5 linked regions of the Callithrix jacchus genome follow. The protein of the gene in region 3 binds, or shares a complex with, the protein of the main gene of each other region. Links are inferred from orthologs where the notes say so. Each region holds a gene or a part of one and is shown on either strand. Other genes may lie near its edges. The genes, in order: ZMAT2, PRPF38A, MFAP1, SMU1 and IK.

Evidence for each region.
Region 1: MFAP1 (region 3) and ZMAT2 share a complex: the UniProt entries of both Homo sapiens proteins name them as parts of the spliceosome B complex. The link is inferred for Callithrix jacchus from reciprocal best matches to the Homo sapiens genes MFAP1 and ZMAT2.
Region 2: the proteins of MFAP1 (region 3) and PRPF38A are in contact, whole or in part, in a crystal structure (PDB 5F5S), measured with the Homo sapiens proteins. The link is inferred for Callithrix jacchus from reciprocal best matches to the Homo sapiens genes MFAP1 and PRPF38A. Residues at the interface, in NP_005917.2 of Homo sapiens: Glu275, Tyr276, Trp279, Arg282, Glu283, Arg286, Arg289, Asp290, Arg294, Leu297, Glu298, Lys301; in NP_116253.2 of Homo sapiens: Tyr124, Asn125, Tyr127, Lys129, His143, Asp145, Glu146, Asp149, His153, Tyr169, Val170, Glu172.
Region 4: MFAP1 (region 3) and SMU1 share a complex: the UniProt entries of both Homo sapiens proteins name them as parts of the spliceosome B complex. The link is inferred for Callithrix jacchus from reciprocal best matches to the Homo sapiens genes MFAP1 and SMU1.
Region 5: MFAP1 (region 3) and IK share a complex: the UniProt entries of both Homo sapiens proteins name them as parts of the spliceosome B complex. The link is inferred for Callithrix jacchus from reciprocal best matches to the Homo sapiens genes MFAP1 and IK.

The regions. Positions count from the first base shown.
Region 1 is NC_133503.1:39,074,450-39,078,792, forward strand, and holds the end of ZMAT2 (zinc finger matrin-type protein 2), read left to right. Parts: intron 1-190; coding exon 191-336; intron 337-484; coding exon of another isoform or gene 485-580; exon of another isoform or gene 581-773; intron 774-2,157; coding exon 2,158-2,301; 3' UTR 2,302-3,196; downstream 3,197-4,343. UniProt on the Homo sapiens protein: Involved in pre-mRNA splicing as a component of the spliceosome.
Region 2 is NC_133508.1:89,573,854-89,579,623, reverse strand, and holds the end of PRPF38A (pre-mRNA-splicing factor 38A), read left to right. Parts: intron 1-1,275; coding exon 1,276-1,388; intron 1,389-2,013; coding exon 2,014-2,040; intron 2,041-2,135; coding exon 2,136-2,254; intron 2,255-2,735; coding exon 2,736-2,784; intron 2,785-3,494; coding exon 3,495-3,537; 3' UTR 3,538-4,104; downstream 4,105-5,770. UniProt on the Homo sapiens protein: Involved in pre-mRNA splicing as a component of the spliceosome.
Region 3 is NC_133509.1:31,483,745-31,490,151, reverse strand, and holds the start of MFAP1 (microfibrillar-associated protein 1), read left to right. Parts: upstream 1-2,862; 5' UTR 2,863-2,998; coding exon 2,999-3,077; intron 3,078-6,407. Other genes in the region: WDR76 (WD repeat-containing protein 76), read right to left, coding at 493-552. UniProt on the Homo sapiens protein: Involved in pre-mRNA splicing as a component of the spliceosome.
Region 4 is NC_133502.1:140,279,049-140,285,270, reverse strand, and holds the start of SMU1 (WD40 repeat-containing protein SMU1), read left to right. Parts: upstream 1-2,173; 5' UTR 2,174-2,269; coding exon 2,270-2,295; intron 2,296-5,833; coding exon 5,834-6,044; intron 6,045-6,222. UniProt on the Homo sapiens protein: Involved in pre-mRNA splicing as a component of the spliceosome. Regulates alternative splicing of the HSPG2 pre-mRNA. Required for normal accumulation of IK.
Region 5 is NC_133503.1:39,012,876-39,019,149, forward strand, and holds the start of IK (protein Red), read left to right. Parts: upstream 1-2,322; 5' UTR 2,323-2,430; coding exon 2,431-2,446; intron 2,447-2,969; coding exon 2,970-3,036; intron 3,037-6,003; exon of another isoform or gene 6,004-6,274. Other genes in the region: NDUFA2 (NADH dehydrogenase [ubiquinone] 1 alpha subcomplex subunit 2), read right to left, coding at 155-246, 1,801-1,934, 2,025-2,125. UniProt on the Homo sapiens protein: Involved in pre-mRNA splicing as a component of the spliceosome. Auxiliary spliceosomal protein that regulates selection of alternative splice sites in a small set of target pre-mRNA species. Required for normal mitotic cell cycle progression.

The sequences.
Region 1 (4,343 bases), on a different chromosome or scaffold from region 3:
CAACATCACCCAAACCATGTGCTGCTCCTAGGCCCAGCTGGCCCAAGGAGTTTCTTTTAGCCATAATTATTTTTGCTGTGTGTTTTATGAGACGTCATATGAGAAGATGTCAGAAAAGTCAGGAAAATGCTTTTTGAGGGGCTGAGGATGTTATAATGAGCTTGCCTTCTTCACTGTTGATCCCACCCAGATCAGAGAAACCTGGGCATGTCTATGCGTGTGGAACGTTCCACCCTGGATCAGGTGAAGAAACGTTTTGAGGTCAACAAGAAGAAGATGGAAGAAAAGCAGAAGGATTATGATTTTGAGGAAAGGATGAAGGAGCTCAGAGAAGAGGTAAGGCTCTCCTATCCTTCCCTTTTCCTCCAGATTTCAGATTTATGTTATAAATCATGGGAGACCCTGTCCTCATCCCACCCCCACCCCCAGAGTTGTATCTCTTGAGTTCTATATATTAGCAGGAATATTTGTTGCCTTTATTTAGGATTCTCATGACCTGAAGGAAATGGCTCTGAAACTACTTTTTTCTTCTGGACTCTCTGGGCCTTATTTTATTTTTTTGGTATTTCTCTACTTATGATGGGGTTACCTACTGATAAACCCCATCATCAAGTTAGGAATATCAGAAGTCAAAAATGTATAATACACCTAACCTACCATAGGTTAGCCTAGCCTACCTTAATGTATTCAGAACATATTAGCCTATAATTGGGCCAAACTGTCAACACAAAGCATATTCTATAATAAAGTATTCATCTCATTAGTTTATTAAATACTGTACTGAAAGTGAAAAACAATGGTTGTAGGGATACTTGAAGTACAGTTTCAAATATATGTCAGTTTCTCTCCATTGTAAAATTAAAAAATCTTATCAGATCAAGTTGAGGACTGTCTCATCTGTATTCTTTAATTTTTTTAAAGATTTAACTTTTTTAGAGCAATTTAGGTTTATAACAAAATTGAAAGGGAGGTATAAAAATTTTCCGTATACCCATTGCCCCCCGCAACATGCATAGCCTCCCCTGTACTTTTTCTTCTTCTTTTTTTTTTTAAACTACAAAAGGAATTAATTAAATGTACCTAGTCCTAAAGAGGCCCATGGAATCAGTCTGACTGGATCAGAATTCTGTTTCTTTCTCTTACTGAATTTGGGCAAGTTATATAACTTCTCTGTACTTCCATAACCCCATATTAGAGATCTTAGTATAGTATACATGAAGTACAACAGTTTCTGGCCTGTACTGCATGCCTCAGAATGTTAGTTGCTGTTAATACGGTTTTGCTGTCATAACCCTGTTAGGAACTAGAAATGAAACGGGGCCAGATGCAGTGGCTCATGCCTGCAATCTCAGCACTTTGGGAGGCCAACGTGGGTTGATCACTTGAGCCCAGGAGTTCAAGACCACCTCAGCAACATGGGTGGGACCCCGTCTCTAAAAATACAGGGCCGGGCGCGGTGGCTCAAGCCTGTAATCCCAGCACTTTGGGAGGCCAAGGCAGGTGGATCACGAGGTCAACAGATTGAGACCATCCTGGTCAACATGGTGAAACCCCGTCTCTACAAAAAATACAAAAAATTAGCTGGGCATGGTGGCGTGTGCCTGTAATCCCAGTTACTCAGGAGGCTGAGGCAGGAGAATTGCCTGAACCCAGGAGGCGGAGGTTGCGGTGAGCAGAGATTGCGCCATTGCACTTCAGCCTGGGTAACAAGAGTGAAACTCTGTCTCAAAAATAAATGAATAAATAAAAATAATAAAAAAATAAAAATACAAAAATTAGCTGGTATAGTGTGGTATATGCCTGTAGTCCCAGCTGCTTGGGGCTGAGGTGGGAGGATTGGTTGAGCCCAGGAGGTGGAGGTTGTAATGAGCCAAGATTATGCCACTGCACTTCAGCCTAGGCGACAGAGTGAGACTGTCTCAAAAAAAAAAAAGAAAAAGAAAAAAAAGTGAACTGGAGTCCAGGATTGAGAACTTCCCTCTAGGGACTAAAACTTTTTCTTATCCCTCACAGTTTTTACTGTGGCTTTTACTCTGTCCTTCAGATTTTACTTAACTACTTTCTCCTAACGATAAAAAGGAATCTTGAAGCTCATGTTTTTTTCAACAACATTTGGCTGAGGAGTCTAAACTGATTCTGAGTGACTTTTCCCTCCAGGAGGAAAAGGCCAAAGCATACAAGAAAGAGAAACAGAAGGAGAAGAAAAGGAGGGCTGAGGAGGACTTGACATTTGAGGAGGATGATGAGATGGCAGCTGTGATGGGCTTCTCTGGCTTTGGTTCCACCAAGAAGAGTTACTGAGGCTTTCTATGCTTGGCCTAACTTTGGCCTATGCTGGACCTAACTTTGTGTGTGTGTTTGTAGTGGGGGGTAATTTCTTTTTGGGTAATGGTAAAGTCCTTAAGAGTGTCAATGGGGAGGGACAGAAGTTGGGGCTCATGGTTTCCTCTACTTTGGGAGAGGACATAGATTGCAGAGGTAATGCTGTGGCATATTCCTTCAGCCTCAGTATATCACTGGAGTCATAGGATCCCTGCCCACCTGAGTTCCCAATAAAGAAAAACCTCCCTTTCTGAGGCTGCTTTCCCAAAACTCCCCCTGCATCTTGATCTCTCCATCTATCCAACCTCTTGTCTGAGCATCCCACCTTTATCCTGTGTTCTGCCTTTGTTCTAATTTTAACTCATGTTCAGCCTGCAACAGAAGCATTCTCTAGGTCCCAGTTTGCAGTTGATTGCATATCGTTGACCAGCCCTTTTTTCCCATGGTTCTCTAGCCACCTGTGCATGCATGTGTATTTCTGCCTGGTTCTATGATGTGCGTGGATGTGTGTGCATGAATCTGTCACATAGAGGGGGCCTGAGCTGGAATCTCAGAGCATTGCTGCCCTGGGACCTAATGTTCTTGGCTTCCTCACAGCATGTAACAGGAAATTAAATGGGATGAGTGTTTGGTGTGGTTTGTGTCTGGTGAGTTTTTTAACATTCAGGTATAGATTGTTTCAGCTTCTCTTGTTTCATTTTCCTGAGGATTTCTGTTTTTGTCTTCCTTGTGAGCAGGCTTTTGGAAGAACCTGTTTGATACAAAGAAGAAAATGAAAAAACAAAAAATCCCCAAAGCCTTCCTATGGGAGCCATTGGGTCCTAGAAGCTGTTCAACATGTATAATAAATGGCATTGACTGGGCCTGTTTCACATTTGGTGGGAACATTTCATCATCTTTCCTGTGAATATTTGTTTTTCTTTCTCACGCTGAGGATTTCAATATAGAGTGTTTTTTCCTTCTATTTAAAATTTTACTTTTGCCTAGGTTTTTTTTTTTTTTTTTTTTTGGTATGAGTTATGTTTTCCTCTGATACAGGATCTATGCCCAGAGGCGTCTGAACCAAAACTATTCCTATAATTTCAGACTCCTTTGATCTTTTGTTTTTGGAGCAGCAGAACTCAGGGTTCAACTTAGTGCTTTTCTTTTTTTTCTTGAGGCAGTGTCACTTGCTTGCCCAGTTGAGTATAGTGGCACGATCTTGGCTTACTGCAACCTCCACCTCCTGGGTTCAAGTGATTCTCCTGCCTCAGCCTCCTGAGTAGCTGGGACTACAGGCACCCACCACCACACCTGGCTAATTTTTGTATTTTCAGTAGAGACGGTGTTTCACCATGTTGGCCAGGGTGGTCTCAAACTCTTGACCTCAGGTAATTCACCTGCCTCGGTCTCCCAAAGTGCTGGGATTACAGGAGTGAGCCACTGTGCCCGGCCCTTAGTGTTTTTCTTACTCTCTGCTAGACACAGGATTACTTAATCTTGACACTGTTGACATTTTGTGCCAGATGATTATTTGTTGTAGGGACCAATGCTGTATATTGCAGGATGTTTACGATTTTAATTTAGGATTAACTTCATCCCTGGCCTCTACCAACTAGAAGCCAGTAGCACCCTCCCACAATTGTGACAACTAAAAATGTGTGTGCTCCTGAGAAAGACAAAATCCCTCCCTACCCACATTGATAACCACTGAGACGAGCTACCTGTCTTTTTCTTATCTAATCTTGGTCTAACTTGAGAATTAGATGACACAGTCTGGATAACTCAAAACAGAAACAAAACTTTGATATCCACTGGGTCAAGAACTGTGCCAAGTCCAGGGGATGGAGAGGAAAAAAAGTAGTCATATACATACATGAAGAATTATAGTCACATTAATTTCAAGCAGATGAAACCTGTAACTTCTCTTGCTGGTTCTATACCATGAAAAAATTGATTTATGTGGGTTAACAGGCTGCCACCATATAGCTGGTTTTCGTTCTCTGCCCCATTAAGCTCCTCACCCTTCTGTAGTATCTGAA
Region 2 (5,770 bases), on a different chromosome or scaffold from region 3:
AGAGACGAGGTTTCACTGTGTTGGCCAGGATGATCTCGATCTCTTGACCTCATGATCCACTTGCCTCAGCCTCCCAAAGTGTTGGGATCACAGGCATGAGCCACCACGCCCGACCTAATTTTTAACTCTATTGGCCAGGCACGGTGGCTCACACCTGTAATCCTAGCACTTTGGGAGTCCAAGGTGGGCGGATCACTTGAGGTCAGGAGTTCAAGACCAGCCTCAGTAACATGGTGAAACCCTGTCTTTACTAAAAATACAAAAATTAGTTGGGAGTGATGGTAGGCACTTGTAATCCCAGCTACTCAGGAGGCTGAGGCAGGAGAATTGCTTGAACCTGGGAGGCAGAGGTTGCAGTGAGCTGAGATTGTGCCATTGCACTCCAGTCTGGCAATAACAAGACCCCGTCTCAAAAAAAAATTTTTTTTTAATTCTTTAACCAAATACAATATTTTCTTATTGAAAGTACCTCAGCTCTGCCATATACTAGTGGTATAATCTTACACAAATTAAATTGAGTTTTCTCCTATGTAAAGTGAGGTTAATGATACTTTTCTCCCAACACTGTTAAAAGTATTAAATAAGATGATAAACATAAAGCCCTTAGCACATTTTTGGCACATTATAATTGCCTAATAAGTGGTGGCAGCTATTAAATAATTGGAAAGAAATAACGCTTGTCATAATTGCCCCTGTCCTCAGTAATAAGCCTTGTTTAGGAGGGGGAAAATGTCAACTGCATAGTCATGTTCTTTCAGTACTCGTTACAATGCTGAAAAGTTGAAACCAGCCAAGCTGCCCAGTTGTTTCAGGAAGCAGCCAGGTAAAACTTTTGTTTTTTGAGACAGGGTCTCGCTTTGTTGCCCAGGCTGAACTACAGTGCCACAATCTTGATTCACTGCAGCCTCGGCCTCCCAGGCTCAAGCTATCCTCCCACTTCAGCCTCCTAAGTACCTGGAACTACAGGCACATGCCACCACGTCTGGCTGATTTTTGTATTTTTTTGTAGAGATGGGGTTTCACCATGTCTACAAAACATACACACACACACACACTCACTCACTCACACTCTCTCTCTCCGCTCCTGTTCCTATATAGCTCATAAGTTTTGTTAGTTAATAGGGTAAGTGCTTCCCTCTTTGTAATCAGATCACTGTGCTTTAAAGTCACTTGGAGATGGACTTTGGGACAAGATGTGGAGCAAAGTATAATTAGTGTTTCTAGTGGCTCCTTATGAGCTTGTGCCTATCAATGACCCAGCCATCTTGTTTCCAGTTGGAAAGAGTGCCATCACCTGATCACCGTCGGAGAAGCTACCGAGACTTGGACAAGCCCCGTCGCTCTCCCACACTGCGCTACAGAAGGAGTAGGAGTCGGTCTCCCAGAAGGTAAAGCCTTAGTCGTTGGCCTTTTCCCAGGAGATTTTGAGCACTATAGCCTAGAAGTTTGGATTTTAGAGAAGGAAAAATGACAGCCTATGGAGAATGTTTGCCCAGTATATTAGTTATCTGTTATTGTAACAACCACCTATAAAACCTCATTGGCAGACAACAATAACCATTTGTTTTGTTCAGAAGTCTGTGGTCAGTAATTTAAGCAGAGCTTGGATAGGCAGTTTTTTAAGTACCTGTTTTGTTGTTAGCTGTTTGCTGGCTACTATGGGATCGCCTTTGCTAGGATGACAGGGGAAGTTTCCCTTCTCTGTATCATCCTCCAGCAGGATAAGATGGGCATCTTTTCATGGTACTGGCAGAACTAAAGAGCAAATAAACCCAGTCATGCAGATATTTTTCTTGTATCTGCTTTTATCACGTTTGCAAATATCCCATTAGTCAAAGCAAGTCATGTGTCCAGTCCTAAAGTTAGAATGGGAGTGTGCTAGTGTTACATGACAAAAGACATGGATACAGAGAAGGGTGATACAGAGAAGGGTGAAGAATAAAATTGGGGCCGTTTTTGCAATCTGCAACATCCAGTGCACCAACCTAGGCTTTCTTTTTCCTCTCTTTATAGGCGAAGCCGATCTCCCAAAAGGAGAAGGTAGGCCTTCGGTCATTTTGATGAAGGACAGGGCTTTCGGGAGTGGGGGTGGTATTGGTTGGTGTTTTATGTATATTGCTAACCAGATCTGGTAGTTTGACCAGTCTTTTCTACAGCCCCTCCCCCCGTCGAGAAAGGCATCGAAGCAAGAGTCCAAGACGTCACCGCAGCAGGTCCCGAGATCGGCGGCACAGATCCCGTTCTAAGTCCCCAGGTAGAGCATTTGGGCCTTTTGCCACAGGTTCTCTTAACAAAGAAACATAAAAGGAGCAGTTAGCCTTCTGCAGTACAGGGTGCCTGACTGAACTGCGTAGCAGAAAAGGAAATGGACATAGAATCTGAAAATAAAGGTTCACAGCTTGTCACTTTTATAAGCCTTGCTGATAAGGTTTGCTTCTGTTTTTTCATCTGAAATTACAAGAATAAGATCTAACATAATAATAGAAACCCAATATGATGTTTGTGAAGTCAGCCATAAAGCCCTTGAATGAATGTATTTGTATTTGAACTGGTTTCGTTAGTACTTTCTTTGCTCCCTCTTCCTTCACTAATTCAGAGAGTTGCTACCACTAAGAGGTGTCCCCTGCATAGGCCAAAAAAAATATCAAGCCAACGGCAGACATTAGGGAGGTGAGAATGGGAGTTTAATAAGAATTGAAGGGTAGGATCTCATACAGTGGCCTTTTCTTCCCCAGGTCATCACCGTAGTCACAGACACAGGAGCCACTCCAAGTCTCCTGAAAGGTAATGAATTGACCTCTATTTTAACTTTATTCAGAAATAAAAGTCCCAATTATAACTAATCGGACCTGAAATTTTGTTTTGTTGGGGCATATTAGGAATTCTCCTTAATTACAAGATAAAATTGGTCTATTGCTTTGAAAATTACTGGGGCTAGAGACCCTTTTTCTTTGATACGGTTTCGCATTTATAGTTTTTTCTTATAAAGTTTCTCAACCTTTATTTTTAATGAAGGACGTGCTGAGTTTTGCCCAGGCTGGAGTGCAATGGCGTGAACTTGGCTTACTGCAACCTCTGTCTCCTGGGTTCAAGCAAGATACCCGTTTTGTTTTGTTTTGCTTTACAGGATTGCAGCTTTGGATAATGGATGAACTTTGGTCTTAGAAGACACGGAGTTTAGTCCCAGCTTTTAAAACTTAACAGTTGAGTGACCTTGGAAGAGTCACTTTCATTTAATAAGATTTCATTAGAAACCCCCATGTGCCACATACTGTTGGGTGCACTCTTAACCTCTGAGACGTGATTTCCTCAATGGTAAAATTTGGATAGTAACCCCTGATTCAAGAGTGTTGCTCTGAATCAAAAAAATACCAAGCAGTTTAATGAATATGGAGTGTTAGCTCCTTCCCCATTAGTGTCAGCATGCCAAGGTCCTTCTCAGAAGTCCCTGCCCAGATCCTTAATGTAATTATTTATATGTGTTTCCATTTCAGGTCTAAGAAGAGCCACAAGAAGAGCCGGAGAGGGAATGAGTAATGGACTCGGTTTGGTTGTAGTCCACATGGCCTCCTGTGGATATGAGGGTATCTGTCTATGTGGAAGGCTTAAGAACTCCCCAGGCAGCTACAAGAATATTTTAGTTTTTTTCTTATAAAGTTTCTCAACCTTTATTTTTAATGAAGGAGGTGCTGAGTTTTGTATCTCTTTTTAATCATCATTAACATCAGTTTTTGACCGAACTAACCTTGACTGTATTCAAACTTATGAGGGTGGAAAGGATCTGTAGGTTGAAGATACGAATGACAAGGAAAGGATGTGGCCACCTGATGACCCTTCTCCTTTTTATTAAACCAGACACATCTGTTTCCCATTTCTCTGTCATTTAGTTTTTGGTTTGCTGTAGTTAGAACTACTTTGAGAATCCTGGGATTTGTGCTGCTGCTATTATTCAAAGATATGAGTAAAACATAGTAGCTCCTAACTTTTTTCCAGCAGCAGCAAATGGTGATACACATGAAAACTGGTTAACAGTTTTGAAAGAACAGAATGCATTCAAATGTTAGGCTTCTGGATCATTAAAGCCAGTTTCATTGAACAGTTCAACAGAGTGGTACTTAATACCCTTTATACAGCCCATTTTTTCATAGTTCCATTGGTTCTTGCCCACAAACTTGAAATCCAGGTTAAGCTATCCAGCCTTTGTCATATAAGCATTGACATTATCCAGGACTACTCGGTAGCAGTAGGTAACAGGATTGAAAAAGATTTGATGGAGAGGAAAGTATCTAATACTAGTCATGGTTTTGATCTAAATTGCTAGACAAGAGTGCCATTTACAAAGTAGAAAATATAGCAGAAAGAGAAGCTTTTAGGGGGCAGAGTATTAGAGGATTGTGCTAGTAATGAAAGGGATGCATTCAATTTAACAAGTTTGAGACAGCTATGGTATAGCTAAAAAAAAAAAAAAAAAGCCCATAAAGTTGGAGATAGGCCAGAATTGACAATATTTTAAGTAATTGTGGAATCTGTCAATAAGACTGCACAGAGAGTGTTTATATCAGAAAAGCACATGAGAACCATAGACAACACTGGTGACAAGAAGTACTGGAATGACCCATTCAGAAAGACGGGAGAATTAGGAGACAGTAAGTGAAAGAAGCCAAGGGTCAAGAACGCAGAAGCAAAGTAAGGACTAAAAAGTCGCCATGGACATTGATAATCAAGAGATGAGATATTTGCTAGAAGAATTCCTTTTACCAGTACTTAACTCCCTTAAACAAAAGTGACTGACTTCCTGCAACTGTAGTCCTAGCAGGAACTGTGAAGACCAGCTGCCCTACAGAATCCAGTTTTTCTTGGGAAGTTATATCTGGTCATAAGGTAAACAGTGCATTCTGTTGCCTGCTCTTGAACTGAAAGATTTCTACAGCAATATTAAAGCTTTTTTAAATCTTAATTGAGCTTTCATAATCTTCAGTGATTCCTTTCATAACACCTGAATTAAAGAGCTCTTATGGTTTCCGATACAACTATATAGGACTACCTTTTAAAATTAAATATAGCCATCTCTACGTAAATGTTTTGCAGTATCCTATCAGTTCTTTATGAAAGTGATTTAGATAGAAATGTTTCTTGGCTAAATGACCATGGATCTAGTACACTCTTAAAACTTTAAATTAGGCTGGGTGTGGTGGCTCACACCTATAATCCCAGCACTTTGGGAGGCTGAAGCCAGCAGATCACAAGGTCTGAGGATCAAGACCGTCCTGGCCAACGTGGTGAAACCCCATCTCTACTAAAATACAAAAAATTAGCTGGGCGTAGTGGCACCTGCCTGTAATCCCAGCTACTTTTGGGAGGCTGAGGCAAGAGAATTGCTTGAACCCAGGAAGCAGAGGTTGCAGTGAGCCAAGATCACATCACTGCACTCCAGCCTGGCAACAGACCAAGACTCCCTATCAAAAATAAAACTATCTTAAAATACCATTTTAAGTAAAAATAAACACACAAAAAAGATGCAACAAATTTTAGTAAAAGAAATCTCCCTAAACATTAAATAAAATATACTTGTTTAGACATGGTAAAATGTGAGGTACCACAGCCAACCAATAGCAGGAAGGAGAATGTCCCTATTCTTTAATTAGGAGGTAAGAGTAAAACCGTGTAGTTTTGATAAAATAACACAGGAGATGGCGCTTAAGGACAAACCTTGCTGTAAGGCTGTTTCTGTCATCTATGTGCTTGCCTATGAACGAAGCTTTTAAACTTT
Region 3 (6,407 bases):
ACCAGCCTAGGCAACAGAGCAAAACTGTCTCAAATAAATAAATAAATCCAAATTGATAGCCTGTAAGAAAACTTTTTCTCCCTTCCAAAATCTAGATATGTAATTCATTAACCTTAACCTCAATAGAATTCATTTACTTGGCATATTTCTTGCCCATAAGAGTTTGCCAGACCAATAATAATAATGACTAGCATTTATGACAGAGGCAATTACCGCAACTGCCAGCTGCGGATGGAATGATTTAGAGTGTGAAGCTGACCATAAGTGTGACAAAAGCAAACGCAGAAGGCTGAAGAAAGCGAATCCCAGATCTGACCCTCCCGCTATTTCTAGGATTATTGATTAAACTTTTCGACGACGCTGAAGGCCTCAGGGCAGGGATCCCCGCCTACCCCCAATGCCAGGTGCTCTCGACCTCCCAGGCCTGTATCCCGCAGAACCCCACAGAAACCGAGGCAGAAGCACACCCGGAAGCACCAACCCGTTTCTCACCTTCATCTGGGGTCGCTGTCTGGAGTTCGCCTTCTCAGCCGCCGCGTCCGACCCGGACATCTTTCGGCTGCTTAGCGGCCGGCGCCTTCCCGCCAAGATTGCGGCAGGAGGCCGGGAGGGGTGGAGCGAGGCCGCGAGTAGTAGGGCAGGACGGGGCGGGGCCGGGACGCGGCGGAACCCACTAGCACCACCGCGGTCGCAGCGCAGTAGCAGGAAGACCCGGTTGCGCGCGCCTCTTAAGAAAGCCATCTTAAAGCCCTAGACTGAAAATTCCTTAGGGATGTACTTGGTCTGAATTGACATTTTTACCTTTGACTGGTGATTCTGATTCTGGTGGTACTAGGATGCCGCTCTGCAAAACACTGGCAGGCCGGGCGCAATGGCTCACGCCTGTAATCCCAACATTTTGAGAGGCCGAGAGGAGCGGATCGCTTGAGCCCAGGACTTCGAAACCAGCCTAGGCAACATAGTGAGACCCTATGTCTACAAAAAATACAAAAATTAGTCCTGCGTGGTGCTGTGCGTCTGTAGTCCCAGATACTCGGAAGGCAGGGGTGGGAAAATGGTTTGAACCTAGAAGGATGTAGCCAGTGAGGCATCATGCTGCGGCACTCCAGCCTGGGCGACAGCAAAACCCTGTCTCTTTTATAAATAAATATAAAATAAGATTTTGGCTATTCTTCTGTTTAAGGTTCCTTCTAGCCCAAAACTGTTTCCTTAGTTGCTTAACTGGGTCCCACACTGTTACCTGACTGAGACTGGTCCACCCAAGGCCCAACTGTATAGAATACAGTTGAAGTAATTTGGGTAAATCATATTAACAGCAACTTCAAGGCCCTCCACGACTCAAAAATTACTGATAAAACCAAACTTTTCATGGTGTCCTGTATAATGCACAGTTTCTGGACTGCAAGACTGTTTCTGCTGTCCCTTGTGTCCCCCACAATGATAAAGTCCTTCCTACTGTGAAATATGCCCTTTCCCTTTTTTTCTTTTTTTTCTTTTTTTACACAACCCAGCTGGTAAATTGGGGCTGCTTCTGTTATTATTCTACAAGTCCTTAAAGAGTTCTTAAATAGGCCGGCCGCGGTGGTTCACATCTGTAATCCCAGCACTTTGGGAGGCCGAGGCGGGCGGATCATCAGAGGTCAGGAGTTCAAAACCAGCCTGAGCAACATGGTGAAACTTCGCCTCTACTAAAAACACAAAAATTACCAGGTTGTGGGAGGCCGGAGTGGGTGGATCCCTTGACCCCAGCCAACTCGGTAAAACCGCCTCTACTAAAAATACAAAAATCAGCAGGGCGTGGTGGCGGGTGCTTGTAATCCCAGCTACTCAGAAGGCTGAGACACAAGAATTACTTGAACCCGAGAGGTGGAGACTGCAGTAAGCCGAGATCGCGCCACTGCACTCCAGCCTGGGTGACAGAACAAGACCCTGTCTCGGTGGGGCGCGGTGGCTCACGTCTATAATCCCAGCACTTTAGGAGGCCGAGGTGGGTGGATCACGAGGTCAAGCGATCGAGACCATCCTGGTCAACAAGGTGAAACCCTGTCTCTACTAAAAATACAAAAATTAGCTGGGCATGGTGGTGCGCGCCTGTAGTCCCAGCTACTCGGGAGGCTGAGGCAGGAGAATTGCTTGAACCCAGAAGGCAGAGGCTGGAGATCGTGCCATTGAACTCCAGTCTGGGTAACAGCGAAACTCTGCCTCAAAAAAAAAAAAACCCTGTCTCAAAATAATAATTACCTAGAAACTTAAATGCAAACACTTTCCAGCCAGGAATATATTTTAATAGGTAGTTTCCAACTACCAGTGGAAGAACCTGAAAGCCTAGAAGTGGAGTTTTGGGATTTCGGGCAGGCAATGTCTCAGGCACCTTGGGGGATTTTTTTTTTTTTTTTTTTTTTTTTGGTCACTGGATTAAATCAGCACCACCTGCCCTGTGTGACACCAAATACCGCACCACAGCTCACACTGGCCTCATCAACTGACCTAATCAGATACTATTACCAAGATTTTTACTCCATCTAACTCTACTTTTTCTGAGCTTTCAACAAGCCAAACGGCAACTCACTGGCGCCTCAGTTTCTTATTAATTATGCTGTTCTTGGCTTCTAACCAACCTAACACGTGGAACCTTTCATTAGAACCTTCCTCACCGCAGGGTCCGCCGGTCCTACCAGCAAAGCCCAAAAGAAGCAAAATTTCCCGCCAAAGGCGGTTTCCAATTTCTGCGACGTAGAGGACCCGAGGGCAGCCGAAGAGCAGGCGCAGAAACAGACGCAACTTCCTAGCTGTGGGCGCTCATAGGTCCTCCACCGTCCCACAATCCTCTCGTTACATATTTCCGGTTTATCTAGCCCAGCCGTAAGCGGTTTCGCTATCAGTCGAGCAGCTGTGTTCGTGAACGTAGGTGGAAGGGATCGCTTCTCTTCGTTGACGTTGTTGGTGTTCACTGTTTGGAATTAGTCAAGTTTCGGGAATCACCGTCGCTGCCATCAACATGTCGGTCCCAAGCGCTCTCATGAAGCAACCGCCCATTCAGTCTACGGCTGGGGCCGTCCCGGTTCGCAATGAGAAAGGTACGGTGCTGACAACCCTCTTCCCAGCCGAATTTTACTCTTTCGGCCCCAGCAACCTCCAGATCTCTCCCAGGTCTGGAGAGGTCTGTCTCTCCCAGACAGACCACTTCTATCCCGCCAGCTCTCAAGATTTGGCTCCCAAATTCTTCGACCTTTCCACCCCCACCCACTCGCATCCGATCTTCTTCCTGTGGCCTGCTCTCATATTCAGCAAGCACCCCTTAGCCTACACAAATTCCTTAGACTAATATGTACATTATATATATTACATATATAAAAGTACTTAATAGTTACTTAGGAATTTAACTATATATCAGAATATAGATGTCTAATATCCTGGAATATATGTATTAGTCTAATATTAGAATATAATATCACTACATATTACTAGAATATATGTATTAGTCTACTTAGGAACTTAAGTATATATATATTAATCTAATAATTAGGGACTTAAGTATATATCAGAATATAAATATATAATATCAGACTAGATAGATATGTAGGTAGGTAGATACATAGACAGAGAGAATGCCTATTTGCTGGGCATTGTGCGGGATATAGTCCCTCTTTTGCTGTCCATAGAAGACTGCTTATGCTGCCCAGATTGGACTCGACGTCCTGGACTCCGGCTGTCCTCCTGCCTCAGCCTCCCAGGTAGACACCACCGTGTCTAGCCTCAACATGGATTTTGGGAATTATCTTTGAATCCCTATAGATATTTATTCATCTGAACTGCTTATGAATTCCATTGTGTACACTGTAACCAGCCAGAGGCGGTGGCTCACGCCTGTAATCCCAGCACTTTGGGAGGCCAAGGCAGGTGGATCCCAAGGTCAAGAAATGGAGATTATCCTGGCCGACATGGTGAAACCCCGACTCTACTAAAAATACAGAAATTAGCTGGGCATGGTGGTGTGCACCTGTACAGTCCCAGCTACTTGGGACGCTGAGGCAGGAGAATTGCTTGGACCTGGGAGGCGGAGGTTGCAGTGAGCCGTGATCGCGCCACTTCACTCCAGCCTGGCAACAAAGCGAGACTCGGTCTCAAAAAAAATAAATTAATTAATTAAATAAACTGTAACCCACAGTTTATTCCCTCCTGAGGGGCAGGTAGTTGTCCCATTGCTGTTTTTTTCCCCCTGTTAAAAAAGTGCTGCGGCTGGGCACTGTGGCTCACACCTCTGAGGTGGCGGATCACCTGAGGCTAGGAGTTCCAGACCAGCCTAGCCAACGTGGCGAAACCCCATCTCTACTAAAATACAAAAAATTAGCAAGGCGTGGTGGCAGGCACCTGTAATCCAGCTACAAGTTCAAGTTCTGCAGTTGTTGTTCTTTAGCCAATTCAGCTTTAATACCTCTCCAAAGTGAGTTGTAAAAATGTAAGAATTTGGCCGGGCGTGGTGGCTCATGCCTGTAATCCCAGCACTTTGGGAGGCCAGGGTGGACGAATCATGAGGACAAGAGATCAAAACCATCCTGCTAACATGGTGAAACTCCCTTGAACCCGGGAGGCAGAGGTTGCAGTGAGCTGAGATCGCACCACTGCACTCCAGCCTGGCAACAGAGCAAGACTGTTTCAAAAAACAAAAACAAAAAAGAATATAAGAATTTGTGGAGCACATTGGCTCACACCTGTAATCCCTCACTTCAGCAAGCTGAGGCAGGAGGATCACTAGAGGCCAGGAGTTCAAGACCAGCTTGGGCAACATAGCAAGACTCTCATTTCTACAAAAAAATTTAAAATTAGCTGGATGTAGTGATGTGTTCCTGCTACTTTGGGGAAGCCAAAGCAGGAGAATCACTTAATGCCCGGAAGTTCAAAGCTGCAGTGAGCTATGATTGTGCCGTTATACTCCAGCCTGTGCAACACCTTGAGACCCTGTCTCTTCAAAACAAGGCCGGGCGCAGTGGCTCACGCCTGTAATCCCAGCACTTTGAGAGGCCGAGGCGGATGGATCACAAGGTCAAGAGATCGAGACCATCCTGGTCAACATGGTGAAACCCCGTCTCTACTAAAAAATACAAAAAAAATTAGCTGGGCATGGTCGCGTGTGCCTGTAATCCCAGCTACTCGGGAGTTTGAGGCAGGAGAATTGCCTGAACCCAGGAGGCGGAGGTTACGGTGAGCCGAGATCACGCCATTGCACTCCAGCCTGGGTAACAAAAGCAAAACTCTGTCTCAAAGGCTGGGTGTGGTGACTCGCAGCTGTAATCCAAGCACTTTGGGAGGATGAGGCGGAAGGATCACGAAGTCAGGAGTTCAAGAGTAGCCTGGCCAACATGGTGAAATCCCATCTCTGCTAAAAATACAAAAATTAGCTGGGTGTGGTGGCTAAACCTAGAGAGCGTATTAGACACATGAACAAGATGCCCAGCATCACTAGTAATCAGGGGAATGCAAATTAGAATAACAAGATGCCATTTCACACCTGTTCCACCTGTTAGATTGGGCAAAAATGTAAAAATCTGATACAACCAAGTGTGTAAATGATGAATATATGGGAAATAAAGCTCTGAGGTTCTCAAAGTTTTTTTGTTGTTTTTTTTTTACATGGAGTCTCACTCTGTGCAGAATTGCGATCTTAGCTCACTACAACCTCTGCCTCCTGGGTTCAAGCAGTTCTCTGCCTCAGTCTCCCGAGTAGCTGGGATTACAGGCGCCCGCCACTACACCCAGCTAATTTTTGTATTTTTAGTAGAGACAGTGTTTCACCATGTCTCCAACTCTTGACCTCAGGTGATCCACCTGCCTCAGCCTCCCAAAGTACTGGAATTACAGATGTGAGCCATGGTCCCCAGCTATTTTTTTTTTTTTTTTGAGATGGAGTTACGCTCTTGTTAGCCAGACTGGAGTGCAGTGGGACGATCTCGGCTCACCGCAACCTCCACCTCCTGGGTTCAAGCAATTCTCCTGCCTCAGCCTCCCAAGTAGCTGGGACTACAGGCGCACACCACCATGCCCAGCTAATTTTTGTATTTTTAGTAGAGACAGGGTTTCATCTTGTTGACCAGGATGGTCTCGATCTCTTGACCTCGTGATCCACCCGCCTCGGCCTTCCAAAGTGCTGGGATTATAGGCGTGAGCCACCGGATTCCCAGCTTTCGTAAAGGTTTTCTAGCTTCTGAGTGTTCGTATATATTAAATTGGATTGAATACATACTTATACAAAACACACTTTAAGTTAGGGAGCTTACAGTCCTGTAGGGAATGTAAATATTTAAGATAAGTTTGTTTTTGTTTTAGTTTTTTCCCCCCACAAGATGAAGTCTTGCTCTGTCAGGCTGCAGTGTAGTGGTGCGATCTTGGCTTACTGCAACCTCCACCTC
Region 4 (6,222 bases), on a different chromosome or scaffold from region 3:
CAGGAGGGGGTCTATTTACCGGAAAGCGGGGCGGATCACGAGACTGGATTTCCCTCTGGGTTACTTTTGTTCACTAGAAATCTGGTCTGAGAGGTTGTGATCCAGCCTCTGAGTATGCAGTAAAGATTCTTGGTGAATACAGTTGCCTGATTTAGAGTTTAGAAGTTGTCTCTGTGTGTGCCTGCTTGTTTATTTATATATGGATGGAGAGATGTGAGAGACCTCATTTTTCTAGGGTTAAAAACAAAATTTCCTATACAAATTGATCTTTAGGAATTGGCAAAATTTATCAACTTGTGAACAAGAGATCAGCAAGGTTAAGAAAGCTATACTTTTGGGTATGGGAAAGGCATGGAAATGGATGGATTATTGGAATACTTACATAAGTAGCCAGTTCAGGGAAGGGAAACTAGGTATAGATTGTCATTTCATTATACATAGTAACAAAAATGTCATATTCCACTTTCTTATTACAGAATAAACATTAGTGAGGAGGGTTTGCGATGCCAGGAGCATTGACTATCAATCAGGGGTTAAAAATCCAATATATCGAAGAAGCAAAGGATAGGTATACATCTGTGGCTGCTTGCTAGTCATGATAAAGTTTCATTTCTCAAGAATGGTGCCCATGATCACATTGACGTGAATGCATAAACTACAGGCAAAGCAGCAAATAAGTTCTGACTTGAAACAGGCCACTTGGCCCCAGGGATTATCTCAAGCAGCATGTGATCAGACAGAATATAATTCACACTCCCTACCCTCCGCTGCCCCACCTTTTCTTTTTTAGTTTTTCTTTTAAAAATTAAATTTCCTTTTTCTTTTCTTTTTATTCTTTTTTTTTTTTTGAGATGGAATCTCACTCTGTCACCCAGGCTAGAGTGCAGTGGTACAATCTCGGCTGACTGTAACCTCTGCCTCCCAGGTTCAAGCTATTCTCCTGCCTCAGCCCCCTGAGTAGCTGGGATTACATGTGCATGCCACCATGCCCAGCATATTTTTGTATTTTTAGTAGAGACAGGGTTTCACCATGTTGGCCAGGCTGGTGTTGAACACGTGACCTCAGGTGATCCACCCACCTAAAACTCTCAGAGTGCTGGGATTACAGGTGTGAGCCATGGTGCCCAGCCAGATTTATTATTATTGTGCTGTAAATAATTTTAAAAATTTATATACACTAGTAATAAAACATTTAAAAATAGGTTTTATGTATGAACTTTACTGATACCTCTACATTTCATTTGTCACTACAAATGTAATAATGTGTGTGATCTAAAGTCCGGTGAGGGGCGCGGTGGCTAACGCCTGTAATCCCATTATTTTGAATGGCTGAGGTGGGAGGATGGCTTGAGTCCGAGGCGTCGAGGCTGCAGTGTGCCTTGATCGTGCCACCGCACTCCAACCTGGGCAACAAAGTAAGTCCCTGATTCTAAAAAATCCAAAACTAACCAACCAACCAACCAAAACCCCCAAAACCCTTAATTAACTCTTTCTATAAATTTTGTTACGTCGCTTTCGAATATATTAATATCCCAATCAAGTAGTGCATATTCAGCCTTATCTAAAATCTAATCAACTAATTACATCAAATGACAACCCCTCCTCTTCCTCCTCTTCCCTCCCCTCCCCTCCGCTGCCCTGACCTGCCCTCCTTTCCTAGTCCAGCCTGAATCCTTTTTTTTTTTGAGACAGAATCTCACTCTGTCGCCCAGGCTGGAAGTGCAGTAGCGCGATCTCGGCTCACTGCAACCTCTGCCTACTACGTTCAAGCGATCTCCTATTTCAGCCTCGCGAGTAGCTGGAATTACAAGCGTGGGCCACCACGCCCGGCTAATTTCTGTATTTTTAGTAGAGCAGGGGTTTCACCATGTTGGCCAGGCTGGTCTCCAACGCCTGACCTCAGGTGATCCATCCGCCTCGACCTCCCAAAGCGCTGGGAGTACAGTTGTGAGCCACCGCGTCCAGCCCCAGTGCTTTTGTTTTTCACTGCATTTGTGAGCTGTATGGCGCCCAGTGCTTTTAAACAGTCTTTCTCCAGGAGCTTATTTCTCTAGGGCAGGGGCATAAACTCCACCCTCTGACAGTCCCTCAAGGCCCCGCCCTTGCGCGCACCCCGCCCCTCTTTCTGATCATTCCGTCTGAAGGGCAGGCGCCGGACTCCGGTTGCCGACCCAAGCGGAAGTGACGTAAGGTGGCCGCCGGAGGTGTTGCTGTGTTGCGCGACTGGCCTTGAGGGAGAACTGGGGCCTGCTCCCTGAGAGATACAGCTATGTCGATCGAAATCGAATCCTCGGAGTGAGTCTCGTGGTGGGGATGTTCCAGCTGTGCCGGGCACCCGGAGGTTAAGGTTGTGGGGTGGAGGGTACTCGAGAGAAGGTATCGGAGAGGCTAGGGGAGGTTAGGGAGTGGAGGGCCATTTCGTTGGGCCCAAAGAAGCATCTTGGATCTGGCTAGCTCGGAGGTGGGCCGGCAAGGAAGTAGCCACCCTCAGACGTGAAGCCAAAGTCTCGAGGGAGGTGGCACGGGGTGGGGAAAACACCTTGCAAACCTGAGTTCTGTCCTTGGCCGACTGTGCTGTGATTGATCAAATTAAGGATCCACTCTGGACTCCAGTCTAATTATCACACAGGGGGCTTGGTCTCTTTAAGCCTTGCTTCTCTCCCTGCCCAACTTATGCAAAGTGATTCGTTTCTTCCTCTGTGCTTATACGGTCTCTTTGCTTTCCTCTGCCTAGCGTTTATCACTCAATATTTGATAACCTTACCCCAGACTAGCTTTGACGGTGCCTAGGGGCTCCTTTTCCTTGTGGTCTCAGCGTACCTTAGAGGAAGAGTTAATTGCTTTTGGAATGAAAGAACAACTAGCTATTTTATCAGGCCCTGAATTTTGGTTTGTTTGTGAGCTCTCTGTAGCTGTAAAGGAGAGACAGTCTCTGGAGACTGGGCTAGAAAGAAGAATTTTCAGGGAATGGGGGAGAAAAGTAATGACCAAAGACCTTTAGTGTGCTTTTCCAGAACTCCATCCTCCACCTGTCCTTGCCAACACTTAATAATGATTAAATTAACAGAATTGTGAGAGAGGACCTTTTTTGGAGACTTTTTTTTTTTTTTTTTGCAAGACGGAGTCTCACTCTGTTACCCAGGCTGGAGTGCAGTGGCGCAGTCTCGGCTTGCTGCAACCTCCGCCTCCTGGGTTCACGCATTTCTCCTGCCTCAGCCTCCCAAGTGGCTGAAACTACAGGCGCCCACCACCACGCCTGGCTACTTTTTTGATGTATTTTTAGTAGAGAGGGAGTTTCACTATGTTGGCCAGGCTGGTCGCGAACTCCTGACCTCTTGATCCGCCCACTTCAGCCTCCCAAAGTGCTGGGATTGCAGGTGTGAGCCACTGCACCTAGCCCTTTTTTGGAGACTCTTCATAGGAGGCAGGGAAGTTTATGCATTCTGCAAATACTGAAATCTATGTATTGTTATAGATGCTGGAAATACAGTAGTGAACAAAACAGACAAAAATCCTTCCTCTCATAGAACATACATTGTGACTGGGGAAGGCAAGCAATAGACAAAAACGATAAATAAAATATGAAATGTAACAGATGGTGGTAAATGCTTTGGACAAAAATGAAACAAAGAAGAATGATAGGGAGTGCTGGAGATTATGACAACTAGGTCAGGAAGGAGTTGGAAAGGATTCCATGCTTTGGGGCCTGAGTGGTACCTGTAATGACCATTCTCCCAGTCTTGACCTTGGCTGTAGCAGTAATGGCTACTGCATGTTTTGTTTTGTTTTTAATTAATAATAGTTACTATTGGGCCGGGCGTGGAAGCTCACACCTGTAATCCCAGCACTTTGGGAGGCCGTGGTGGACAGATCACGAGGTCAGGAGTTTGAAAACAGCCTGGCCAACATGGTGAAACCCTGTCTCTACTAAAAATTCAAAAATTAGCCTGGCATGGTGGCAGTCGCCTGTAATCCCAGTTACTCCAGAGGCTGAGGCAGAAGAATTGTTTGAACCCGGGAGGCAGAGATTGCAGTGAGCCGAGATCGCGCCATTGCACTCCAACTTGGGCAACAGAATGAGACTCAAAATAATAATAATAGTAGTTACTATATACTAAGTACTTTCTATGCTAAGCATGCTGTAAGTAGTATAATCAACCTTTTTATCAACCCTACAGGATAGGTATTTTTCTTAACAGATAAGGAAGCAGGCACAGAGATGTTAACTGACTTGTCCCAGGTCACATAATTTTGATTCAAATCCCAGATTGTCTTCAAAGCTTTTAGCTCTTTATATATTCGTTTGTGTTCGAAGGTAGAGAATTTGATTTTGGCTATGTCAAATTTGAGGTGTTTGAGGAGAGAGATGTCTTATTTTGGGAGTGCAAAATGAAAGTCACTGGAAATGTGCTAAGGAGGATAGTACCATACCAGAATAGTAGGGGTCTAAGCTTGGATACCTGCATACCTCAGAAAGGGGCCATGAGAGAAAAAGCCTACTGCAAATAGCAGCAATCAGTTCTCTTTTATAGTTGTTTTTAAGAAGAGGGGCCAGGCATGGTAGCTTACACTTATAATCCCAATGCTTTGGGAAGCTGAGGTATGTGGATCACTTGAGGTCAGGAATTTGAGACCAGTCTGGTCAACATGGCAAAACCCTGTCTCTACAAAAAACACAAACATTAGCTGGTGGGATGGTGCATACTTGTGGTCTCAGCTACTCAGGAGGCTGAGGTGAGAGGATCGCCTGATCCAAGGAAGTTGAGGCTGCAAAGAGCTGTGAGCACAACACTATTCTCCAGCCTGAGCTCTGGGAGTGAGAACCTGTCTTTAAAAAAAAAAAGAAAAGAAAAGAAAAGAAGTAAAGAAGAGAGTGTTTGCTTTCTCCTCAGGAATATATGTTCAAGAGCCACACTGCCAGTTTGAGTCCTGATTTTTCTACTTATTATCTCTATTATTTGGTCACATCCTCTGTAATTTGGGGATAATAATAAACTTAAAAAAAAATTTTTTTTAACAGGACCACCACTATCAGATAGTAGTAAACTTACCTCATAGGTTTTATTTTATTTATTATTTTGAGACAGGCTCTTGCTGTCTTTCCCAGGCTGCAGCCTCAACCTTAAGGGGCACTAGTAATCCTTCCACCCCAGCTTCCCAAGTGGCTGGGACCACAAGCACACACTACTCTGCCTAGCTAATTTTTTTTTTTAGTAGAGAAGGGGTCTCCTTATGTTGCCCATGCTGGTCTTGAACTCTTGGGCTCAAAGGATCCTTCTAAATCAGCATAGCAAGTAGCTGGGACTACAGGCACATGCCACCATGTTTGGCTAATTTTTAAAAATTTTTGTAGAGATGGTGTCTCATAGCTGCCTGGTCTGGTCTCAAACTCCTGGTTTTCAGCAGTCCTCCTGCCTCAGCCTCCCAAAGTGCTGAGTTTACAGTCATGAGCCAATGTGCCCAGCCTCATTGAGATTATTTTGTATCAATGACTAGACTAGTCATTTAAAGTATTTCAGTGAAGTGTGCTATAATATAATCATAAGAATGAACAAGAAACTAGGCTCTAGATTAGGAAATAAGATAGTCACCTTAATACCAACTCCCTTTCTGGCTGAGACATCAGGCAAATGATTTCCCTTCTCTGAACCCCAGTTCTGTCTCTAGGGTGGGGAGGTCCCCTTGTAATTCAGATTCTGTGACTTTGGAAAGTTTTACTCACATGATAAAGAGATGGTGGTGAAAGGAAATGATGAGTAGGAGCTGGGTAGGCTTTAATTTTTGGCCTCTGGCGAGTGGAAATCCCTGAGCTGAATGATTTGTTTTCTTTCAGTGTGATCCGCCTTATCATGCAGTACTTGAAGGAGAACAGTTTACATCGGGCATTAGCCACCTTGCAGGAGGAGACTACCGTGTCTCTGAATACTGTGGACAGCATTGAGAGTTTTGTGGCTGACATTAACAGTGGCCATTGGGATACTGTGTTGCAGGCTATACAGTCTCTGAAATTGCCAGACAAAACCCTCATTGACCTCTATGAACAGGTAAGAGTGATGGTGATGCTGATCCCCATGGGTTGGTTTGTTGTGGGCCGGCTCCCTGACTGGAAACCATCAGTGAGCATTCCTTTAAGCACCGTAGGGCTGCATCAGCCCATAAAACTTACACTGGTTTGCTTTTGATTTAAAAAAGAAAAAACTAAAAACTAAAAACAAAACAAAA
Region 5 (6,274 bases), on a different chromosome or scaffold from region 3:
GGGGTAGAGGGCAGATGATGACAAGAACACCCTGAGAAAATATTTTACAGCACAAGCTTTATAAGGATTAGGAGAACACATTTTTTTTTCACATACACTAAGTCCATCAGAGCCCAGTCTCTGAGGCAGTTGCTCTTAATCCTCAGTGGAGGTTTCAGGCTTTACCACTTAACACATTCTCCAGGGCTCTGGTTACCTCATCAGCACTGAAGTTGTTCAGAGAGACATTCTTCTCTTGGCCAAATGCTGAGGAGAGAGAGGGAGGTGTCTTAAGTATTTTTTCTGCACCGTGTAGGCTACCAAAGTAAAATAAAAGGTCCTTTATCTTACAGTCTTGTTAAGATGGGAAGAGTACACTTGGTATGCCTAGAATTAATACAATGGGTCTCAAACACATCTAGGAAGCCCAAGTCTAAATAGAATTTTGGCTGATTCTGGACAGCTACAATGGGTTGTTTCAGGGAAGCTAAAGCTTTATAGTTAACTACTGTGAGCAGTGTATATTGCATGGGTCCAACCTTGGCTGGGTGCCCATTTCCTAGGCGTCTATGCTAGCTCACATAATACCCAGCACAATACACTGAAGTTACTCGTGTCTATCTCCTTGTAGTCTACTGTCTTTTGGGAGGAGCTTTTTTTCCTCCTCCAATTATTAATGCATGACATACTACAGAAGTCTGTGAGAACCAATCTGCTTAAGGTGGTCACTCTCCTCCACCTTCCCACTGACATTTCCAGGGTACCATATAGTTAAAAGCTGTGATTAAAATCCTGTTATTCAGTATGTATAAATATTTATTGCATACCTACAATGTGTTAGGCAACGTGATAGGAAAATTTCATTTTGCAATATATTGGAATAGGGTAATATAAAAAGGAGCTAGAAGCAGTCAGCGAATGCCTTTTTGAAGCAGTAACATACATGACCAGAATAATAACCTGAATAAGGAGCCAGCCATGCCAGTCTTAGAGAGGTAAGTACATTCTAGAAAAGGGGAATAAATGTAAAGCCTCAATCCTGTTTTATCCTAGCTGCATTACTTTAGCTAGGTTCCACAAGGTTTTGATTCCATTTTTTTCCTAATCTCTACAATGAGAAAAGAAGAACACGCTTCCTCATGACAAATGAAGATTAAATGAGGTTGGGCCCGGTGGCTCACACCTGTAATCCCAGCATTTTGGGAGGCGGAGGCAGGGTGATCACGAGGTCAGGAGACCATCCTGGCCAACATGGTGAAACCCCGTCTGTACTAAAAATACAAAAATTAGCTGGGCATGGTGGTTGCACGCCTGTAATCCCAGCTACTTGGGAGGCTAAGGCAGGGGAATTGCCTGAACCCAGGAGGTGGAGGTTGCGGTGAGCCGAGATCGCACCATTGCACTCCAGCCTGGGTAACAAGAGTGAAACTCCGCCTTAAAAACAAACAAACAAATAAATAAAATAAAAATAAAAATTACTGAGATTCTCACACTATCTGGACAGACAATAGCTACATGTTATTTGAACGAAACTATACTGACTAGCTTCTCTCCTATGAGAAACCCATTCTCAGCTACAAAAACATCAGTTCTTGGTCCCTACGCAGGACTCGGGTCAGCCTATATACTTATGTTGCCAGGGATACAAGGCATCATATAACTCTGAGAATATAAATTTCTTCATGGCAACAAGATCAACAGCAAGGCTAAGTCCGAGTTCTAGTTTCTCCATGGGTTTCCGCACGACCTTGGGCGGTCCCTTCTCTTCTCAAACCCTTGTTCCCCTACCGGAGCCCCAGATCCCTGGCGTCTCGCACTCACCGTAGCGGGCCCAGAGTTTGGGATGCACATCCGAGCACTCGCGGATTAGAATGGGTAGGTCGGGATTCGCCTTCTTCAGCTCCACGTAGCGTTTCTCAATGAAGTCCCTGCAGGGCCGGAGAGCGCCGCGCGTGCTGTGGACGCGGGCTTCCCCAATTTCAGGGAGGTCGAGGTCGTGACCCCGGCGTCCCCAAGCCCGCCCGCCTCACCACGCCGCGCCTCACCTGACGCCCTGGCTGCCGGGTGAGCGCTGACATAAGTGGATGCGAATCTCTCGCAGGGCCAGCTTTACCCCGAGTCCTCGACTCGCTGCGGCCGCCGCCATCTTGGGTAATACCGAAGTCACCAGTGCCAGGTCTTCCGGCCAAGTTCTCAGGTTGGACCAATCGCGGACCCTCCAGCCTAGGCCAAAGGCTGGATGACGCAGGGAAAGCTTAGCCAATGATATGCAAGTATTGTAGGACCGCCCTTTGCGCGCAGGGTTGGTCAGAGGCAAAAACAGGAAGCGGAAAGGCTGAGAACGCAAAGCAGTGTGGGTTGATTCTAAGGTGCACCGTGGGAAAGGGCTTGGCACTGCGGTGTTGCTGTTGGAGACTCGATCGTTGGTGACATCGGAAGACCGCGAACAAAATGCCGGAGCGAGATAGTAAGGGTCATGCCATCCGTTATTTCTCATGGCACTCGGGGCACTTGGCACATTACTGTAGCTTCTGAGCTCGAGCCGCTGTGTGTGTGTGTGTGTGTGTGTGTGTGTGTGTGTGACGCTTGAGCCCCGCGAAGCCGTAGGGCCCCCAGTGAGGCCGGACAGCTCCAAACTCCGTACCCAAGCCTCGCTCCTACTCCAACTGATGATGGGTAGCTTTTGTCTGTGGTTCACTTTCCCCAAATCCTGTCCCCGTACTTAATCCTGGGTTGCGCGTATCATCTCTTACGTAGTATTTTAGACGTGATCTCAGGAAGTCTCTGGTCGTGCACCTTAGGGTTAGGGTCCTCTGCTTTGTGCTCCCACAGCTTCTTGTAGTTTCCCATTTCAGCACTTATTACCTTATGTTTTCACTGCCCCTGTTCTACCTCTTGTTCTATATGTTGTTCACTGCTCTATCCCAAATTTTTGCACAGGATCTGACACATAAGAGACTGATTAAATTAACCTCAATTCTTTTTGTCAGGTGAGCCATTCTCCAACCCTTTGGCCCCCGATGGCCACGATGTGGATGATCCTCACTCCTTCCACCAGTGAGTATTTTGTCGTAGGACCATGGAAATGAGCTGGGCAATGGATAGAGGAATGGTGGTGATGATGAAAGAATTCTGAATGACTTGTCATTATGGATGGTCAAAAATTAATTATGCCCGCTGGCCCTTTATCTCTGTGAACCTTACCTGGATCAGGCCAAGTGCATAAGGGTATGAGAGGAAATTCTGGCAAGAACGGTGATAAGTTTTTGTTTTGTTTTGTTTTTAATATATGTTATGTAATTACACATTATATAGGAATTCCTTCTTCCAATAGAAAATAGAAACATAGGAAATAAGGGTAAAATCATCATTGATAACATTATCAATTCCAGTTCATTTTTTTTTTTTCCTTTTTGGAGACAGAGTATCACTCTGTCACCCAGGCTGGAGTGCAATGGCGCCATCTCAGCTCACTGCAACCTCCGCTTCCCAGGTTCAAGCGATTCTCCTACCTTAGCCTCCCAGGTGGCTGGGATTACAGGTGTGTGTCACCACGCCCGGCTAATTTTTGTAATTTTAGTAGAGACAGGGTTTCACCATCTTGGCCAGGCTGGTCTCGAACTCCTGAGCTCGTGATCCACCCGCCTTGGCCTCCCAAAGTGCTGGGATTACAGGTGTGAGCTACTGCACCGGCCTCTTTTTTGTTTTTTGATTCAGTCTTGCTCTTTCGTGCCCAGGTTGGAGTGCAATGTGCTATCTCGGCTCACTGTAACCTCCACCTCCCATTTCAAGCGATTCTCCTGCCTCAGCCTTCCAAGTAGCTGGGATTACAGGCATCCTGTCACCATTCCTGGCTAATGTTTTATAATTTTAGAGAGATGGGGTTTCACCATATTGATCAGGCTGGTCTCGAAATCCTGACCTCAGGTGATCCACCTGCCTTCGCCTCCCGAAGTGCTGGGATTACAGGCATGAGCCAATGTGCCTGGACCACAGTTACAATTTTATGTGTATCTTTTCCTCCTGTTGTCCATGCTGGAGTGCAATGGCACGATTTCTGTTAACTGCAACATGCACCTCCCGGGCTCAAGCAATTCTTCTGCCTCAGTTTCCTGAGTAGCTGGGGTTATACCAGGCGCCTACCACTACCCCTGGCTAATTTTTGTATTTTTAGTAGAGACGGGGTTTCACCATGTTGGCCAGCCCAGTCTTGAACTCATCACCTCAAATGATCTGCCCTCCTTGGCCGCCCAAAGTGCTGGGATTGCAGGCATGAGCCACCATGCCCAGCCCTCCTCCTCCTTTTAAAATGCATTTATACATATGCATGCATATCTAAGGAAAATACAACATTGCCTTATGATTTAAAATATTTAAGTTAAATGATATTATGCTGTATATGTCATTTTTGCAACTTGCTTCTTTTTTTTTTTCTGCCTGCCTTGGCCTCCCAAAGTGCTGGGATTACAGGCGTGAACCACTGTACCCAGCTACAACTTGCTTCTTTTTAAGCCCTGCTCAGTGTTTCTGAGACTGACAAGCATTCCCTCTTTGGCTAAACTTTAGTCAGGTTCCTCAAAGAGTCCTGTTTTTCAGCAGGACTCATCTTTGGCCTGCTGAGCACAGTTTTAGCAAAGAAATCAGCCCCCGCTGCACCTTCAAACCTAACCAAATTGTCCTTAGTAATTTTCTATAAATTCTCACTTGTCCCTGTTGTATTTGGAATTGAATTCAATCTCTCTACTCTATTACAATGGTCTTGACTCCTGTTTCAATAGTCTTTGATAAAGTTTTCCTTGGAAAGAAGAGGAACTTGATTAGACATTGAGGGTGGGAGAAGAGGAGCTGGATTGGATATCAAGAGTGGGAAAACTTTCTGTGAACTGACTTAGGATTTCTTTTTTTTTTTTTTTAAGTTCTGGGGTACGCATGCAGAATATGCAGGTTTGTTACATAGGTATACCTGTGCCATGGTGGTCTGCTGCATCCATCACCCCATCATCTATATTAGGTATTTCTCCCAAGGCTCTCCCTCCTCCACCCCTCAACCCTGACAGGCTCCAGTGTGTGTGATGTTTCCCTCCCTGTGTCCATGTGTTCTCACTGTTGAACTCCCACTTATGAGTGAGAACATGAGGTGTTTGGTTTTCTGTTCTTGTGTTAATTTGCTGAGAATGATGGTTTCTACCTTCATCCATGTCCCTGCAAAGGACATGAACTCATCCTTTTTTATGGCTGCATAGTATTCCACATGACACATTTTCTTTATCCAGTCTGTCACTGATGGGCATTTAGGTTGGTTCCAAGTCTTTGCTATTCTGAACAGTGCCACAGTAAACATTTGTGTGCATAGACACAGTCTTTATTACCTGAGGTTAGGAGCTCAAGACAAGCTTGGCCAACATGGTGAAACCTCATCTCTACTGAAAATACAAAAATTAGCCGGGCATGGTGGCAGGCACCTGTAATCCAGGCTACTCAGGAGGCTGAGCCAGGAGAATCACTTGAACTTAGGGGGCAGAGGTTGCAGTGAGTCAAGATCATGCCACTCCAGCCTGGGTGACAGAACAAGACCAAGACTCAGTCTCAGAAAAAACAAAACCAAAACCTGAGGTCAGCAGGCCAAGGAAGAGCCCTAGTCAGAAGAGAGCTTCAAAGGAGTCTGTCTGACTTTAATTGATTAACAGGGAAGTCAGTTCTTGTCGGTGTACCAATTAAAATAATCTCTCATACCATTAGTTCTATCTTTCCCTCTTTGGAAAACACCGTTACAGTTTAGTTCATCTCCAGCTAATAAACACTTAGTTCTGTTTCAGACTGATTAATTTCTTTTTTTGAGACAGAGTCTTGCTCTTTTTGCCTAGGCTGGAGTGCAGTACCTCAACAGAGGGAGATTCTGTCTCAAAAAAAAAAAAGTGGCATATTTTTGTTTTAATTTGTATTTCCCTGATTTCTGTTTAATTATGATTTTTATGTGTTTCTTTTTCTTTGTTGAAGGTTTCAAATGTACTTTATTTCTTCAATAATGCCATATCTTAATGGGTACACAGTGCTTTAACTTGGCATCAACTATGAGATGTTTTTTAAACAATTTATTATTACACCAGTTGGGATTATTACTAATCTCTCCATTCCTTTGGAATGACTCTGCCAACAGGGGAAAGGGTCCATTCTATTCCGATTTGTGTTGCTACATATGTCCATACAGCAATACAGAAAGTGGTTCTACCAGCTAATACAGCATTCCCATATTTGTCATGGAAATCGGGTGTACATTTCTGGTGGCTCAGCCTTG